Caenorhabditis elegans: one gene and its partners. The protein of the gene in region 2 purifies or fractionates together with the protein of the main gene of each other region. This does not show direct contact. Each region holds a gene or a part of one and is shown on either strand. Other genes may lie near its edges.

Region 1 (4,228 bases), on a different chromosome or scaffold from region 2:
TTTGACTTGGCTCTGTATGGTCCTGGTCCGTAGGATCCAGCATAAGATGGTCCAGCGTATGATGGTCCACCCGCATATGATGGTGGTGGTGGTGGAGGTGGAGCTTCATATCCGCCTCCGCATGGTGGAGGTGGTGGAGGTGGTGGACAGCAGCATTGTTGAGGTCTTTGTGGACCTAATCCTAAACCGAGTCCTTCTAGAAGGAATGCAGATGAAGAAGCAGTCAGTGAAAGAACAATTAGAACTGATGAATGAACCATTTCGAGTGGAATGTATGAAATTCTCGTTTTCGATGGTCACTTTTGTAGTCATTACAGCAGAGCGTTAGAGATTGATACGCAGAGAAATTGCAGCTTCATTATTACACATTTTGAGAAAATTCGGCGAGAAGTGACCGCCAGTGCTGTAACAAACCGATGAGTAATTGGCCGAAAAGCCACTTGACCCCGGGTTCGGCACACAGAATTCAAGGTTAAAGTGGGTGGAGCCTACTTGTTTTTATGCTTGTTGACTGGTTTAAGTTCGTCGCGTCATTGCGCAGGAGACCCCCTAGAACCTTCAGACTACTCCATCACTTATTTAGTACATGATTTATAGTAATTCCATTTAACAAAATTTAATAGCACATAGGTTTCATCAGAAAGTTTTTGGTCCTTCTAGTTACAACAACAGAGATGAGGACGGTGAGTCTTACAGCAGTGTGGTTTCAATAATTAAATACGAGATCGATACAAAAGAGGGCGCGAAAAGTTGTGATAAAAATTTTTAGTGAAATTTTAAATTTCAAAATGGACAAATTGAATAATATGGGAGGTGGTGTATGGTCGCTCAACGAATGTTCACCAATTTACAATCAATGTACGGGTGTGACCAGATTGACGTGGAAACGACTGGAGGAGTTAAAAAATGGAAAGGAGCCGAAAAGAAAAGCAATGAAGGAAGAAACATAAGAATCAAGAAAGACTGAATGGTACAAAATGTTTATTTCGGATCGAAGTGCTCATTCCATTTCTGATGCGTCCACTTTTGCATTCTGGCCCATCCGATTGATTTTCTCGAGTACGTCGTCGGTCATCAAGTTGGAAACTTGTGCAAGCTTGCTTGATTGATACTTATTCTGCAAATAATTATGTTTATTGGAATACTTCGATGATTCAATACCTTAATAGCGACAAGCTTCCCCTGTTTGAAGTTCTTATACGAGACTTCGGCGAGCAAAGCGACAGCATCCTCAATGACTTTCTTAGAGGCTCCGAGCTGTTTGCTAAAAATGTTGATATTAAAATAAAAATATAAGCTTTAAAATGTACCAAATGACCGATACAGCATTCTCCGCCTCGATTCCGTCAACAGGATGAACTTCAAGAGCGATGATCATCGAAGCAGAAGCAATGTGGGACCTTGGGGTCGAGGCCATAACCGAATCGAGCAGTGCGAGCTCTCCGAGACACTTGGAGATATTGTAAGTATAACAGAAAGCTTGATTATCGATTGGGCTGGCATCGTTTTCGGAGAGAATTCTTGAGAGACAGCGGAGGAAGACAAGCGAAGATGGGCAGGACAAGTCAAAGTTCAACGAGTTAAGGATTGTTTGCTCCATTGCCAAGATCTGCTTCTTGCTGTATGTGTTCTCAGTGATGAACTCGTAGTCGTGGATGTCTGGGAGGTAAACCTCTTCGAACTTGGAGGCAACGAACCTGAAACAAAACATTTTTAAAGGATACACAATTAGTAATCCCTATATGTTACGTTTTAAAATTGAATAAAAACTCTCACATAGCTGAAATTCCAAGAAGCTGAAGATCCGCCTTGGAGGTGACCTTCTTCTGAAGCATGCGATCCAGAATGAAGACAGTCAAGTGAAGTGTCTCAGGTGTGAGATGGAATCGAACATGAACTTGGACAAGCCAATCGACGAGAATGCGACGCATCTTGGGAGTGGGCTCTCCTCCCTCCATGAAGCACTCCTCAAGAAGATACTTTTTCTCGTGATGAACGAGATACTTGTATATGTCGTCGGCCATAGCAAGACATTTAGTCTCAGCATCCTGGAGGTTGATTCTCTGTGACTTTTGCGCAGTTTCGACTGGAGCTGGATTGGATGGCTTGAGTGCAAGAATCTCTCGAGCTTCTCTTTTCGTCTGAAGACCTTGCGCATTGACGGGCTTCAATGGTCCGTTTCCGTGCTTAGCCATCTGAATGATAATTATAGTTTTTAGTTTGTAAACACCTTGTACCTGGAGGCTATCCTTTTCCACATTATTCGATGTTCGTCTGTTGTTGGTGGCTCTTAGCATATTGAGGCCTTTCGCTGCAATAAACGATTGTTTGCAAGTTCCAAGAGATAATAAAATAAAAAGTGAGAAAGAACCTTTGATTGCTAGTAGAAAATTGGTAAGTTGAGAAATACTGGACGTTTTACAAAATCTGACAGAAAGGTTATGATTTTATCTAAATAGAACACAACGTGTAAATAGTTTCTACACGGCGAACATGTTAAGGTCACGTGAGGAGCCTATTAAGAATTGTTTGCACTAAATACAAGAATATCGACAAATGGGATTCGAATGTTCCGCGTGCAGCGATTGTCCAACGGAGCGCAACTCCCCCACACCAAGATGGTGCTTGGTGGTAGGAGGGGGGAATCGCGAAGGGTAATATCGATTAAATATGTCACCTAGGATGAATGAAGAACAGACGTTAAAAGATGAATTACAAATGAACCTAGAATATTAATAAAGCTCCAAAGTTAGGTATTTGATAACGATAAGCCAAAGAAAAAAAGATTGTTTTTGTTCAAGAATCGAATAATGAATAAAATGAACCGGTCTATGTGGCAAAGATTCAAATAGGGAAACCTGCGTTGGAAAATAATCGTTCCATTGAAGGTTTTTGCAAAAAATAAATTCTTGGCGCCGAAAAATTGAGGGAGATCCGATCAAAACTTTAATAATCGCAAAGTTTCAAGAGCAAATGATTTTATTTTCAAGGTTCGCGCTGCAATACGACACTCCGTTATTTCGCATCGCGCTTAGTTTAGCCAAGTAAACCTGCTCCATTGAATACCCGCCAACTTGAAAACAGTTTTTACTGGAAGAAAGTTTTTTTTGTTTTTATTTCAAGGCTGAAAAATCAGTCATTTTATCCATATCATAGTTTTTTATTTTTAGCAAAATGGAAAATTGTGAGATAAGACGTCTAAAAATGCTCTTATTTAACAACTCGCGAATTATTTCTCATGTCCACATTTTCGGAGAAGATGGAAGCGGAAGAAGTGAAATTGTTCGTCAACTTCTGAGAAAACCTGAAAACGATTGGGTTCGTGTTTTACAACTTCAATTTCAAAACAATTAAAAATTTCAAACAATTTCAAAATTCACAATCTATTTTTATAGGTTTGTGTGCTTGGAGACTTCCTCTATGCGGATGGATCGCTGAAATTGTTATTCGATTCACTGGCATCGAGTTTAGGTTTCAAGACTAGAGGTGACAGAGCTGAGAATTTTTGCGATAACCTGTATAAATATGTCCAATGGTAAGTGTATTTTCTTGTTAATTAAATTTTAAATATTTTCAGGCCAGACGAAACTAATAGAAAAATTGTCATTTTTCTTGATAATGCACAAGCGATAACAGACTATCCTCCTGTTCCATTACAATGCTTATTCGATTCTTACAAAGCTATACAAGAAATAACGATTCGATTTGTGACGAGTGCACCATCCTGCTTGAACCAATATCACATTAATCTGAGCCATCTTCCAGTTGTAGAGTTTCACATACCTGCACCATCAGTAGAAACTACCAAAGTTCTTATTTCTCGTGCAAATCCAAAAATCAACGCGCAATTTCTTCACGTTGCTTGCCAGTCACTGTTCATGGCCTGCAAGTCACCGAATATTCTTCTATCAATTGTAAGTTTTTTAAAAACAATGTTAAATCCATCACTACAATTCCAGATATCTGATGCGTGGCTAATGTATGATGAGCGGAGAACCGGCGATAAATTCGACTCTACACTGGCAAAAGAATGCCTCAATAGATCATCTGGAGAAAAGCTCGGGAATGTTGTCGGAGAGAATCTGGCCAAGGAGAACGAGAACAGTTTTGATGCCATGCCGCTCGCCATGAGGTATCTAAAAATACTCAACAGAAAATATGTAGTTCTTCCAGAAATTCCAGTAAATTTTTATTTCAGATATCTTCTCATAGCCGCATACTGTGCCAG
Region 2 (5,623 bases):
TGCTGGGCCCTTGAAACTGGAGTCATTTTAGGTCTTCGAATGGACGATGAAATCCCTGGAACATCATTATACTCGCACTATTTCACTCCACGACTTCTTCGCCCAAATTTGGTTCCAAAAATGAATGATGCTAATTCTGCGGCATATTTGGCTTCTATTGAAAAAGAAACGCTGGCATGTTTGAGAATGATTCGTGGAGCACCATCAGTTCAAATGCAAAATATTGTTGGAATCAGGCTCGACGAAATTGAGCAAATCGAAGAAAATGAACGACTACAAAAATCATCAAAATCTTCAATTGAATATGAAGTTGGAAAAGTATCAGAGAAAATGGAAGAAGAATGCTTTGTAGAAGAAGACTCAAAACCTCCATCATTTCCACCGGGTCAAGATCCTCGTCGGATTGGTCAGTACTGGGGATATGACAGGTCTGGATTGGCTCCACCGAGAAGTCACTCGGATGTTATTGAAGAAGCAAAATATGAAGATCGCGACAGACGAAAAGATCTCAATATTCCCGGAATTCCGTAACTTTCCATGTAATTAATGATTAAACACTGTGATGAATTTGTCAAAAATCTTTTCTGTGTTGGTTTTCAGTATTTCCGATTTTATATTGTTTTCTGTTGCATGATCTCTAAATTTCTCAAGTAATAAACCAAATTTCAGAGCTTCAACGTTTTCATTCACAATAGAATCTGAAAATATACAACTATTTCAAACATAAAGGAGGAAATGGTACTCCCGAAAAAATACCCGCGAAAGAAAGTGGGACGAGCAAATTTGTGAGTAGGGATGGGTACAGAAAAAGAAATGGAAACAACCGATGAAATATCCACAGAAGTAATCACATTCACAGTTCAACATATTACAGGGAGAAGTGAAAAATAGTGAAACCAAACATCTAATTTAGTTTTTAATGCAATCTAATTGCTATGGGTGAAACGGATAAAAATATCAACCCGTATAAATATAACTTGTTTCAATTTGATATACCTGTAGATGGGGACTTTGAAAATGGGAAAGCTAAACAAAAATAATAATAAAAAAAATAAACAAAAAAATGACTAAACTCGACGGACTAATCGAACTGGGCTGGAAGATAGTGAATGGCATGAGACAATGTCAATGATTTCTCGTGCGAGATGAACCACACGAATATCCAGATTGTGAATGTGTTTCGAGTGTCCATGGGACATATCCTCGACGATTGGAGAAAGCCCGGAATCCATAAACATTTCGATGTATCTGAAAATGTTTTGAAATGATTTTTGAAATTAAGAAAAAAGTAAATCAAAAACGTACCCTTTCTCATACGTAGGCGCTTTGTTCTTCTCGCGATGTTGAAGAACGTGATGAACTCCCCACAAACACCACATGATGGCCCCATTCGAATTTGACTCTCTAACAATACGACTGAATGGAATGAAAGATTTGTAGGAGACCATTGCCGATGGAAGTGTGGGATACTGCTCAATAAGCTCCAAGAGCTTTTCGCAAGCTTCGTCACGTTGATTTTCACTCTCCCAACCATCAGTGTTGGTCAGAAGATTAGCGAGAATTCCAGCAGCGAAATAAGATCGTTCAACTTCACGATACCGTCCTTTCGAATCTACTTCGTTGAATGATCCGTCAAGACAAGAACTGAAAAAAATTGGTTAAATTGAATTCAACGAATTAAAAAACATACATAAGAACAGAAATATACTCGTTTTTGCAAAGCTGTCCCAAATGCAATTCTTCCACTTCGGCCAAGTTGTTGAGGATGCCAAGAACCTTCGTCTGCACATTTCCATGATAATCAAAAGCTTTGAGAATTCTGAACGCAATCTGAACACCTCCAGCATCCAAAAATGCTTTGCATGTAGCCGGGCATTCGTCTGTTAGATTCCAGAGTGCACTCAGGGTGAACTTCAGAGTATACAGTGCATTTTCATTGTCTCGTTCGTGTCCAACTCGATGTTCACGAGTATATGCCTCCAGATAATCATTCATGATTTTGACAAGATGGTATACATATTTGGTTTCAGTTGTTAGAATCTTTGCTTCTGATGGTCGCATCTTTGGAGTCACAATCGACACAATTGCAATAGTCATTCTCTCAACGCTGGCATCACGATTCAAAAGCATCGTGTCGAGAGCAACTTTGCAGGTACGGTAGAAATCAATTTCATCCAAATGAAGAAGATAATCATTACAAATTGTAAGCCAGACGTTCTTCTGCAGCTGCGTCATGCTTCTATACTGCTCTGCTGCGTCAAGTGACCGTTCAATGCAATTGTTGACTTCTTTTACTGATAATCTCTTGATTCGCTTCATTCTGAAAGTTTCCATCATGGAAAATACATTTATAAAATAATAATACGTACTTGCAAAGATGATAGAGACAAGCACTACCCGCAATCTGCACTGGCAAAGTGTTGAGCCCCTGCTGCATCGAGATACACACAAGCCGTAAACACTCTTTCAACTCCTCCTGTGAAAACTTGTCGTAGCCGGACTGTAACTGGTAATACACAGAATGGAGAGCATGAGTGATGAATGCAGGCCTGTCCAGATTTGCATAATGGGACAATGCAAAAATGATAGATCTTCTCGAGACTGTGTTGATCACTTGCAAATTTCTGTTTGGAATCTCAATGAGTGACGAGTCGAGTGGAGTTGCTGTAATTTCAGAATTAAAACACTACATTTCCAGAATAAAACTATTACTAACCAAGTAAGCTAATTTGCTCTAATTTCGGATGCGCCTCAATAATCTTCTCAACAAATGCCAGTGCTCGATCGGTACCAAATTGAACAATGCTCAAACCAGACATATCAATTGCTCTTAGCTCCGCCCAAGGCGTAGCTGTCCCGCTCTCAATTGCTTCCACAGATCTGTTGTAGATACCAAGAGCCAAATCGAGATGAGCATCCTGTGACGTTTCTTGTAAATAGTCTGTGTTGACTTTTCTTGAAATGTCTAATACACGCAATTTTGTCAAATTAGACAATGTCTCTGTGACATCCCCTTTCAAAATGTTCAGGTTGTACATAATGAGGACTTCGAGATTTCGAAGACTTGAAATGCAAGAAATATCCGTGACACAGGTGCTCGAAATGTCCAGGAACCGAAGATTCAACAAACTCGCTCCAATTTGTGACAAAGTTTCGTTGGCAGTGCTTCTGTTAGCGAAAGCAAGACTTTCCAGACGAGGAAGTTTTCTCGCTACATACGTCGGCCAATTTGAAGTGATTCTGTGTCGTCCACTCAGATCAAGATGTCGAAGCTGTTGTCGTGAAGTTCGGTTGAGTGCCGTATCAAGCACGTCAGCCACTTGAATTTTGTTCGTATCTGAAAAAAAATGTATTAAAATGTTTTAACAAAAACTGCTTACTTGGAAAGTAATCAATATCGCCAAGTCGGAATGAAACCAGGTTCTGGTTCGAACAAAGCTCCAAATCTTGCAACTCAACCTTGTTGCCCATCAAATCAATTTTATTGATTTGGAATCGTGAGGTACTGCACATCGTTTGCAAAGTTTGATGATTGAGTTTCTTTTTTTGGCGAAGAACTTCAAAAATATCGTTGCTGCATGAGGCGATTACCTTGTGATCAAACTCTGGCAGAGCATCTGAAACTTTAATTTCCATAAATGCCGAAATCAATAAATTTACCATTTTCGATGAGCTCAGCAATTCGTTCAGTCGCCAATCTCGCAAGTCTCGGAATGGCCGAGGTACTGCATGTCGTCAGAGCTGCATTGTGATCCATATCAGATGAAATCTGAAATTAAAAGTAAAATTAACTTTATTAGTGAAAAGTAAAGAGAGATCGAAGTGCCTGATGAATGAGGGCTAAATAAATATTTAGTGGGACTCTCTATGAGTTACTATGTAGGTTGCAATTTATAGAAAATGAGAACAAATAGTAAAGTGAGAGGGTGAAAATAGATGAGAAAGAAGGAGCAGACTGGTTCCAGACACTTACACAAAGAAAATGAAAGTAAGAGAAAAAGGAGAGGTAGAAAAGAGTATGGGACACTGGACGATGGGCATATTAACGTCGGCCTTAAACGGTCCTCGGCCATGTCATTGGAGCGAAAATGCATTTTTAAGCAACAAGTAATATTAAAATAAAAGTAATGATTTTTTTATTAGACGGTCGAAAATTTCATCTTTTGCTGATACATAAAAAATTAATTCCAATTAGATTTAATACGGGGTGCAAAGATATGTTAATATTCGTATGTTACAAACTACATCCTTACTGTTGAAAAATCTTATTGAATAGCAACAGAAAATTTATCGATAATTTGTTTTTCTGCATCTCTTTCAATTCTCCTTCAACAACGACTTCTTTTTCAATCAAGAGAACATTACGTCATGAGAACAGTACGAAGAAAAGGAAAAAGAAGAAAAGATCACATGTCATTATGGGGAACCCCTTTCAACTATTACATGTGACTAACTGATTGAACAGTATACTATACCGTTTCTTCGGTATGATTGCACGCAAACGCATGCCGAGAAGACGAGAGGAAAATAATTCGAAAACGTCGATGATAATTGTTTCGAATGCGCACGCACATCAGGCGGTCAACATTCCCGATGAGACGCAGACATGATCTACGCACTTTTAAACATTGTTGCAAATTTGAATAAGTTGACACAATTTTTCAAACTATCATTATCAATTTGTTCGCTGGATTGTGGTTGTCCGGGTATTGCACAATTTCAACGACATTCGAGAATGGCTGATAACACTACACGTGGTTTTTTCCCATTACGTCTCTTTTCTAAAAATCAACTCAACTCACATGTGAGTGTCAACGGTCAATAAAATTATATTGAGAATGCTTTAAGTATTTAATCGTATTTCCGATGAATAAAATAAATAAAATTACTAATCGTCAGGTTGAACTTCTGAATTCAGTAAAATCAATCGAGGCAACCTTGAATCATGTCGCATCGTATCGTACAAAAGAAAAAAATGCGTTAATACCGAGAAAAGTTAAGAAAAAATAAATGAAAATTGCGATGCTCGCGTGAAGTTTTCACCGTCGACTGGGTAGTCGACCAACCAACTGATTACATTCAGTACGGGGAACCCCGGAGTGGAGGGAAGTGTCATGTGATCATGATAACGGGATGGGTGAGAATCAGAAGAAGAGGGTTTCCCCGACGTCTCTCTCTCCTGTCAATTGTAAAGAAAGCACACATTTTTTCTCTCATTTTCTCTAAATACTCTCGAATGTTGGATAATAATAATGACGGCAAGCGAAAATAGAAAAAAAATTTAGAAAGAAAACAGAAAGGACAACGAATTTTCTGGTTGCAGATCAGGAGAGTTGTGCAAAGTTTTTCGTGAGATCGATGAAAGTAAACTTTTTCGCATGAAATATCTCAAAATCATTGGAAATAACCAGCCTACTCATCTCTTTTTTTCTCTTACAAGTTAAAACAAAGCTACATGGTATTTGTACTGCTCCACACACTGAAAAGTTAAGCTTCCGATCACTTCTTTTGCAAACAATTCGTTGCCAATTCATCTTCATATGTGCACGCAGTACAAGTGTAACAAAATGAACACGAAAAGAGCAATGACCGAAGAGTTGAGAAGTCAGCTGGTCTAGCTTGT
Region 3 (7,067 bases), on a different chromosome or scaffold from region 2:
TTTTTCAACTCACTTTGAAGAGGTCGCTCCACTCTCAACAGTATCTGTATTCCGCGAGTTCACATCCCATAGATAAATAGTCCCGGTATTTGCTACGGCAATCGCTAGTACATCACCTTCCTTATCCCAAGCTATGTCGATAAGTTTTCTGGAAGTTGAAAAAAGTGTAAATCACGAAAATCTTCTTTTTTCTTTACATTTCAAAAAACTCTGAACTCACCCAGTTGGATTCAACGCGTCAATAACATTTCCTTTCTTATCGTAATAGATGACCGTGTTATTGGCGCTGAAAAGTATAATTTATTGCTTGGAAAAGCTCAGCTTTAAAATGCATTTAAAAAGCTTCAAATTCAGAAATTCCAGAACCGATAATAATAAATTGAGAAATAATGATGAAAATTCAAATTTTCAAAAATCTGAACAATCAGCGATTGGCTCCACCCATTTTCAAACCAATCAAGGTCTTTGCAAACGCATTGGTCATGAAGCTCCCATTTTGGAAAAAAAATCAAACAGGACAATTAGCCAAAATTGAAAATCCTACTTCTAAAAGTTGGCTTTAAATTCTTTCTCGATTTTTTTCGTCTTTTTTGGAGTTTTTGAATTTTGAATATTTTAAAGAAAAATCTTTAAAAAAGATACTGTTAAAAATAAGAATTAAACAAAAAATAAACAAACCATGCAACAGCTACAGTATGCCCATTTGGTCTCCATCGATGAATAATCGGTCCACTTCCGTGCTCTTCTTCGCCTCTTCGATATTGAAGCTGAGCAGAAACACATTTAAATACTTCCTGATTTTTTGTGAGAGTACACGGAATTACCTTTAATGACATTTATATGAATGAAGATCTCCGTTGTTTTCGACGTTTGCCACTGCTCCCCTATGATTTGTCACTTATGTCACGAGCCTACAAATAATGGTTACAAAAAATGAAGTACAAATCATTGAGCTACCCGAGCCTTTGGGGAGTTGTTGCCTTGGTAACCGGGCTACACAGTGTGTGTTGAGCACGCAAATTGAGGAAAGAACAGGGGAAGTGGAAGAGGGGATTTGATCATTCCCGGTTTGGGAATAATGACAATTAGTAGAATTTTCTGGATTCTCGAGAAAAAAAAACAAACCGCAATTTCATCTTTTTATGTGAATATCGAACAAAAATATTTGATAAAATTATTCATTTACACATCTGGGGCAAATACATTTGTAATGGGAGAGCATTACGGGTACACTAAATTTTGAGAAGTATCTCATAGCGAAAACTACAGTAGTTTTTTTAATTAGTACTGTAGCACTGCTCCGATTTTATTTTGGTTTTTGGCCATTTATTCCAAGTTTAGCCAAAAAATGCACAAAAATGCCAAAAGGGTATTCTTTTTTTTAATTTTTCAATATTAAAATTTTTAGAGAAAACTTTATAATCAAATTCCAAAACGACTCCACCTTTAATAACTTCAAATATTAATTTAATTTTAAATTTTAGACTTCAGAAAATTATTCTTAATTTTTGTTCTAAACAGATTTCCTTTTTAAAATCCTCCTTTTCTCACATGTCACATTTTTCATTGTCATTGCCAACTTCTAACATATGACGTTCAATATATTTTTAACGTTTGTTATCTCTTTTCAATATATCTTCTCTAAAAATCAAATTTCAGCTTCTCCACCATATCCCCGAAAATCTTCAGTGTAACCTCCACAGGAAACCGGTCCGAGGTTCACCGTCCACAGGCAAAACTGGCGTCGAATACACAGCCGACATCGAATCGTACGACACTTGGCCGCCGTAAGGCAATTTCTGACGACAATTTTCCCGTCGTTGAGCCGATATTGAAGAAAATGTGAGTGCGTCTGCTGCGCATCGATCGATATTATTTGGTTTATGACCCCTGGTTTCTCATTTTTCGGTTTGAATATTAAATAATTGAACGAATTAAAAAAAGAAAGAATAATTAAAATCACGTGATTCTTTTTATCAATTAAATTTTCGTGTTTAGTTTTTTAATCCGCATTTCAAAAATTTTCGCTTTTTCCGTAAAAATGGCAAGTTCCACAAAAGTTTCCTTACGGTACCCGTTATTTTTTTTTGAAAATTTCGCACAAATTGTCATCATTTTCAGTCGTCCACCTCGTCCACAGGTTATGTACTCACTGAAGCCAAAAGTTGTGGAATTTGACAAAGTATGGGTGCAGTTGAGACCATCTATCATTGATATCATCAATTTGCGGCCGATCACCAATGTTCAGTGGCATCACAAGTTTAGGTAAGTTTTGAAGGAAAAGTTTGATTTTTTCCAGTGATAGAAATTTCAGAAAGTATCATTTCTGTCATTCAACAGATTTTTCGAATTTTTAATTTGAAAAAAAAGATTTTTTGGGATTTTTTGTTCAAAAATGTCTTGATTTTTGGCCAATATCTAAAGTTTTTGTGCAAAAACTATTTATATATAAGGCAAAAATTACCTTTTTGTTATTAATCCGATTTTGTAAAAATGTTATGTTTTAAAAAATCAATTTTTGAAGTTATTTTCAGCAATCGCGTTGTTTGTAAGCAACAATCCTAAATTCGATTTTTGACAGAGAAAAAAAGTTTTTCGAGGATTTTGTCCACAAAATCCGAAAATTTTTTGACAAAACTATTTTTTTTTATTTCACGTGTATAATTCACTGAAAAACTCAATCATTATTCCAAGAATTGTAAAAAATTGCTCCAAAACACTAACATTCACTTATTTTCCGATTAATTCAGGATTATCCGAAAAATCGATTTAAAAAAACATTGTTGCAAAATCGGATTGATGATCTTATAACCTCTTAAACATACTTTTTAAAACCATTTTGGTAGTATTTTTTGAACAAAATCCATTTCTGGGAAAAAAACATGAGAATTTTTGAAAAAAAAAAAGATTTTTGTACTTTCCAAAGAAAAATGTCAAGAATCACAACTTTACGATACGAAAAGCTGGATTTTTATAAATTTTTAATTTTTTTAAATATTGTTTTCAGTGACGTCTACGACATTTGTGTATCGATACCGACTCCATTGAGCGAGCGATTGTATAATGAGGTATCTCGAATTTGACGTTTTCGACGAAAACCGAAAAAAAAAATTAAAATTCTACTTTTTTCTTCGGATTCTACTATAAAAAAGGATTTTCTAGCGAATTTGGTGATGAGACTACAAGATTTCCATTTTTACAGGTGAAGGCTTGCATTCAAGAGCATGTTCGACAAAAGCGTCAAGATATCGTCGATGTTGATCCGGATCTGTTGCTTCAGGAATATCACAAAATGTGGAGAGTTTTCCATGAGGGAGCCATCTTTATTCACCGTCTCTTTGGGTTCGTGTGAAATTTCTTCGGAATTCTTTTTAAAATTCAAACAATGATCTGAAAATGCTCCAAAATGCATTTTTGTGAAACGTTTTCACTGCGTCGTTGTAGAAGAAAAAGAATTGAAAAATACCCAAAAAAAAGAGAATTAAAAAAAAACATTATTTACAGATACCTGAACAAACAATTCGTAAAACAGAAGCGATGCACCGATTTGGACAATTTCGCGCAGTACGCCGCTTTTCTGCAGATTCCAGACGTCAAGGAGATCGGATGTGTGAGTTTGCGACAAAAAAATTGCGCCAGGTTTTTAGAAATTTCTTTATGTTTTCGACGAAAAAGTGGGTGGAAATAAAATCCTAGGCCACGGAGATGACTTCCGTGGCCGATGATTATCAGTTAAGACCACAGTGCGCTTTTTCAAAATTTTGTGTTCCTGGAAAATAACTATTAAATAATTGAGAAGTTTTGAACCAAAAAAACAAATCGAAATTTTCAGCTCGCACTAGAAATCTGGAAAGAAGACCTCGTGAAGACCATTCTCCCGCAGCTCGTCAAACTTCTGCTCATCGCGATTGACAATGATCGGAAAGGAAACTTCCCGCATATCGCCAATGAAGTCTCCGGCGTCATTAACAGCTTCGTTAAGATGGAGGAGACGGATTTCGACGTTGTACCGGCAGAAGGAGCACGCTATAAGGCTCGCGAGTCGACAACGGCGTTCTATCAGGAGAGCTTTGAGAAACCGCTTCTTACGGATACGGAACAGTACTATTCGGCGCTCGCACAAAAAATGCTCACCGACCTCAGCTGCAGTGAGTACATGGAACAGGTTATAGTGCTCCTCGAACAAGAAGAGATGCGTGCGAAGAAGTATCTCCACGAATCGTCGGTGGAGAAAGTTATCACGTTGTGCCAGAAAGTTATGATAAAAGCTCACAAGGATAAACTTCACGCAGTGTGCCATGATCTCATTACTAATGAGGAGAACAAGGACCTCCGCAACATGTACAGACTGTTGAAGCCCATTCAAGCGGGACTCTCGGTAATGGTTAAGGAGTTCGAGGAATATGTGAAGAAGAAGGGGCTCGAGGCGGTGTCGAGGCTCACCGGCGAGAATGTACCCCAGCAATTTGTGGAGAATGTGTTACGGGTGTATAACAAGTTCAATGATATGAAGACTGCTGTGTTCATGGACGATGGCGAGTTCTCTAGTGGACTCGACAAGGCGTTGCAGGGAGTCGTGAACTCGAAGGAGCCAGGACAGTCGGTGCCGAAGGCCAGTGAGCGGTTGGCGAGATATACGGATGGGTTGCTCAAAAAGTCCACGAAAGGACTATCGGAGACGGATTTGGAGGCGAAACTCGACAGTGCAATTGTGATTTTCCGCTATATAGAGGATAAGGATATATTCCAGAAGTTCTACTCGAAAATGCTCGCAAATCGGCTTATAGCAAGCACATCGATATCGATGGACGCCGAGGAGCTGATGATTAACAAGTTGAAACAGGCGTGTGGTTATGAATTCACCAGTAAACTGTCACGAATGTTCACCGATATCGGGCTTAGCCAGGAGCTATCGAACAACTTTGATAAGCACATTGCGGACATTAAAACTGTGCAGCCCGACGTGAAGTTTGTGCCGACACAGACGATGATTCTGCAGGCAGGTAGCTGGCCGCTCAACGCTCCACAGCTCTCTACGAATTCGAATAATCAGACCGCACAAGACGTGGCCAACTTCCATCTGCCACGTATCCTGCAGCCTGTGATTCAGGAGTTTGAGAAGTTCTACACTGGGAAGCACAACGGGCGAAAACTGACATGGCTTTTCAATATGTCACAGGGAGATGTCAGGCTTACATACCTCGATAAGCAGTATGTCGCACAGATGTATGTCTATCAGATGGCAGCGCTGCTTTGCTTTGAACGTCGCGATGCTATCCTCGTTAAGGACATCGGAGAGGAGATTGGTGTGAGCGGTGACTATCTGCTAAAGACGATTCGAACGATTTTGGACGTTACCCTGCTGACGTGTGATGATCAGAATCTAACGGCCGACTCGTTGGTTCGTCTGAACATGTCGATGACGTCGAAACGGATGAAGTTCCGGCTTCAGGCGCCACAAGTGAATAAGGCTGTCGAGAAGGAGCAGGAGGCCGTCGCGAATACTGTAGGGTTTTCAGTTTGTTTTTCATTGGCGAGGGCCTCAAGTTATGACTTTTTGAGTTCAAGCACTAAAAATCTGTATTTTATTTAGTCCTAGACTTTAAAAATTTTTAAACGATCTCAAAAACCAAGTTTTAAAATGAGACACCTTGAAAAATTCTCAGCATTTTTATGACGGTGGAAATTAAAACAAGCCAAGCTCAACTAAAATCTCAAATGCTGAAAAATCTTTAATAAAGAGTTTAGGTGTTTTTTCGAAATTTTAAACCTTCGTAAAATTTTTTTAAATGTCTCACTATGAAATTTGGTCTTTTGTGGAAACTTTGAGTCAATTCAATCAATTAAACAATTTATCTGCTCCCTTTTTGAGCCAATGAGCCTAAATCAAAGCTATAAACTGTGGCCTAGAATTCTGAGAGACTAGACGTATTTAGTTAGGCCCCGCCTCGATGCAGCTAGATTATCCAAACACGTGTGCCTCGCAATCGTCAATATTAGTTCCAGGTTTCACAAGACCGAAAGTACTATATGGAGTGCGCAATTGTCAGAATTATGAAGACCAGGAAGGTTCTGAAACACAATGCACTTGTCACTGAGGTTTGTTAGATTTTTGTTGTTGGTCAAAACCCTGTAAAACGAGATATTCAACCGACTGAAAATGCTTTACAAAAATATTTTTGTTTGAATTTTGAACCAAGAAACTGAAAATCAAAAAGTGGATTTTCCTCCAAAAAAGAAAAACAAACAATTTTAGAAACAGTTTTTGGTCCGGAACCCCCCAAAAAAAAGCGAAAAAAATCTTTTTGCAAAATGTGCTATTCCACATCAAAAATGCGGAAAACAACATTTTCTTGCAGATAATGGACCAAACGAAAGGCCGCTTCTCGCCCGACGTACCATTCATCAAAAAGAGCATTGAGGACCTTATCGAGAAAATGTATATTCAGCGAACCGATCAAAATGACGAGTATCAATATTTGGCCTAATTCTCTCCCCCTATTTGCGTGTTTTTTCCCTGAGAGGCAAAAAACTAAAATTTAAAATTTACACTGTGTAAATGACTCTGAAACATGCCATTCAAAATCCCCACTATAATTTTATTTTTCAAGATTTTCTAACAATGATTGCTTTTTTTCCAAATTGAACTGTACTGAAAGTAAATCCCCTCGCCCCTCATCTTACATATTTTATATCATTTTTTGCTGGAGCTGCGCAACGGGGAATCATCAAACTGTTTATTGGAATACCTATTTTTATACTTTTGGAGCCCTCAAAAACTGAAAATCGCGGGAAATTCTCTGTTACTCCCGACAAACGGCTATTTGCCTATAAAACCAACCAGTCCGTAGCCTCTCCTTGAAAATGTATATGTACTATATTTGTCTTTTTTTTGTGTTCTATCCTCCCTCCTCAAGCAACTATTTTTTCTCCGGAATCTCTATGATTACGATAAAGTAGACAATTATCCTTCCCAAAATTCCAATTTTGTTTCATTTAAATTTTCACGTTTTTGAACTTGAACTTTGATCCACGACACTCTTACGGCACGTGGCAAGTCATAATGG

What was found. The genes of interacting proteins can lie anywhere in the genome.
Region 1: the proteins of zyg-11 (region 2) and cyb-1 purify together in Caenorhabditis elegans (affinity purification with western blotting, with the first as the bait; one study listed by BioGRID). This does not show direct contact.
Region 3: the proteins of zyg-11 (region 2) and cul-2 purify together in Caenorhabditis elegans (affinity purification with western blotting; 2 studies listed by BioGRID, with this or other methods). This does not show direct contact.

Annotation. Positions count from the first base shown.
Region 1 is NC_003282.8:10,733,525-10,737,752, reverse strand, and holds cyb-1 (G2/mitotic-specific cyclin-B1), read right to left. Parts: upstream 2,312-4,228; 5' UTR 2,298-2,311; coding exon 2,238-2,297; intron 2,196-2,237; coding exon 1,777-2,195; intron 1,698-1,776; coding exon 1,311-1,697; intron 1,265-1,310; coding exon 1,162-1,264; intron 1,118-1,161; coding exon 1,001-1,117; 3' UTR 580-1,000; downstream 1-579. Other genes in the region: grl-21 (Ground-like domain-containing protein), read right to left, coding at 1-260; orc-5 (Origin recognition complex subunit 5 C-terminal domain-containing protein), read left to right, coding at 3,175-3,318, 3,396-3,535, 3,578-3,914, 3,960-4,132, 4,199-4,228. UniProt on the Caenorhabditis elegans protein: Essential for the control of the cell cycle at the G2/M (mitosis) transition.
Region 2 is NC_003280.10:8,015,826-8,021,448, reverse strand, and holds zyg-11 (Early embryogenesis protein zyg-11), read right to left. Parts: upstream 3,770-5,623; 5' UTR 3,758-3,769; coding exon 3,661-3,757; intron 3,618-3,660; coding exon 3,381-3,617; intron 3,338-3,380; coding exon 2,717-3,337; intron 2,665-2,716; coding exon 2,370-2,664; intron 2,321-2,369; coding exon 1,691-2,320; intron 1,645-1,690; coding exon 1,306-1,644; intron 1,249-1,305; coding exon 1,068-1,248; 3' UTR 664-1,067; downstream 1-663. Other genes in the region: hda-2 (Putative histone deacetylase 2), read left to right, coding at 1-531.
Region 3 is NC_003281.10:13,685,610-13,692,676, forward strand, and holds cul-2 (Cullin-2), read left to right. Parts: upstream 1-2,041; coding exon 2,042-2,070; intron 2,071-2,121; coding exon 2,122-2,265; intron 2,266-3,007; coding exon 3,008-3,068; intron 3,069-3,202; coding exon 3,203-3,342; intron 3,343-3,504; coding exon 3,505-3,610; intron 3,611-3,832; coding exon 3,833-5,506; intron 5,507-6,000; coding exon of another isoform or gene 6,001-6,006; coding exon 6,007-6,099; intron 6,100-6,359; coding exon 6,360-6,488; downstream 6,489-7,067. Other genes in the region: WD repeat-containing protein dyf-2, read right to left, coding at 14-148, 221-286, 679-767, 825-836. UniProt on the Caenorhabditis elegans protein: Core component of multiple cullin-RING-based CBC (Cul2-ElonginB-ElonginC) E3 ubiquitin-protein ligase complexes which mediate the ubiquitination and subsequent proteasomal degradation of target proteins.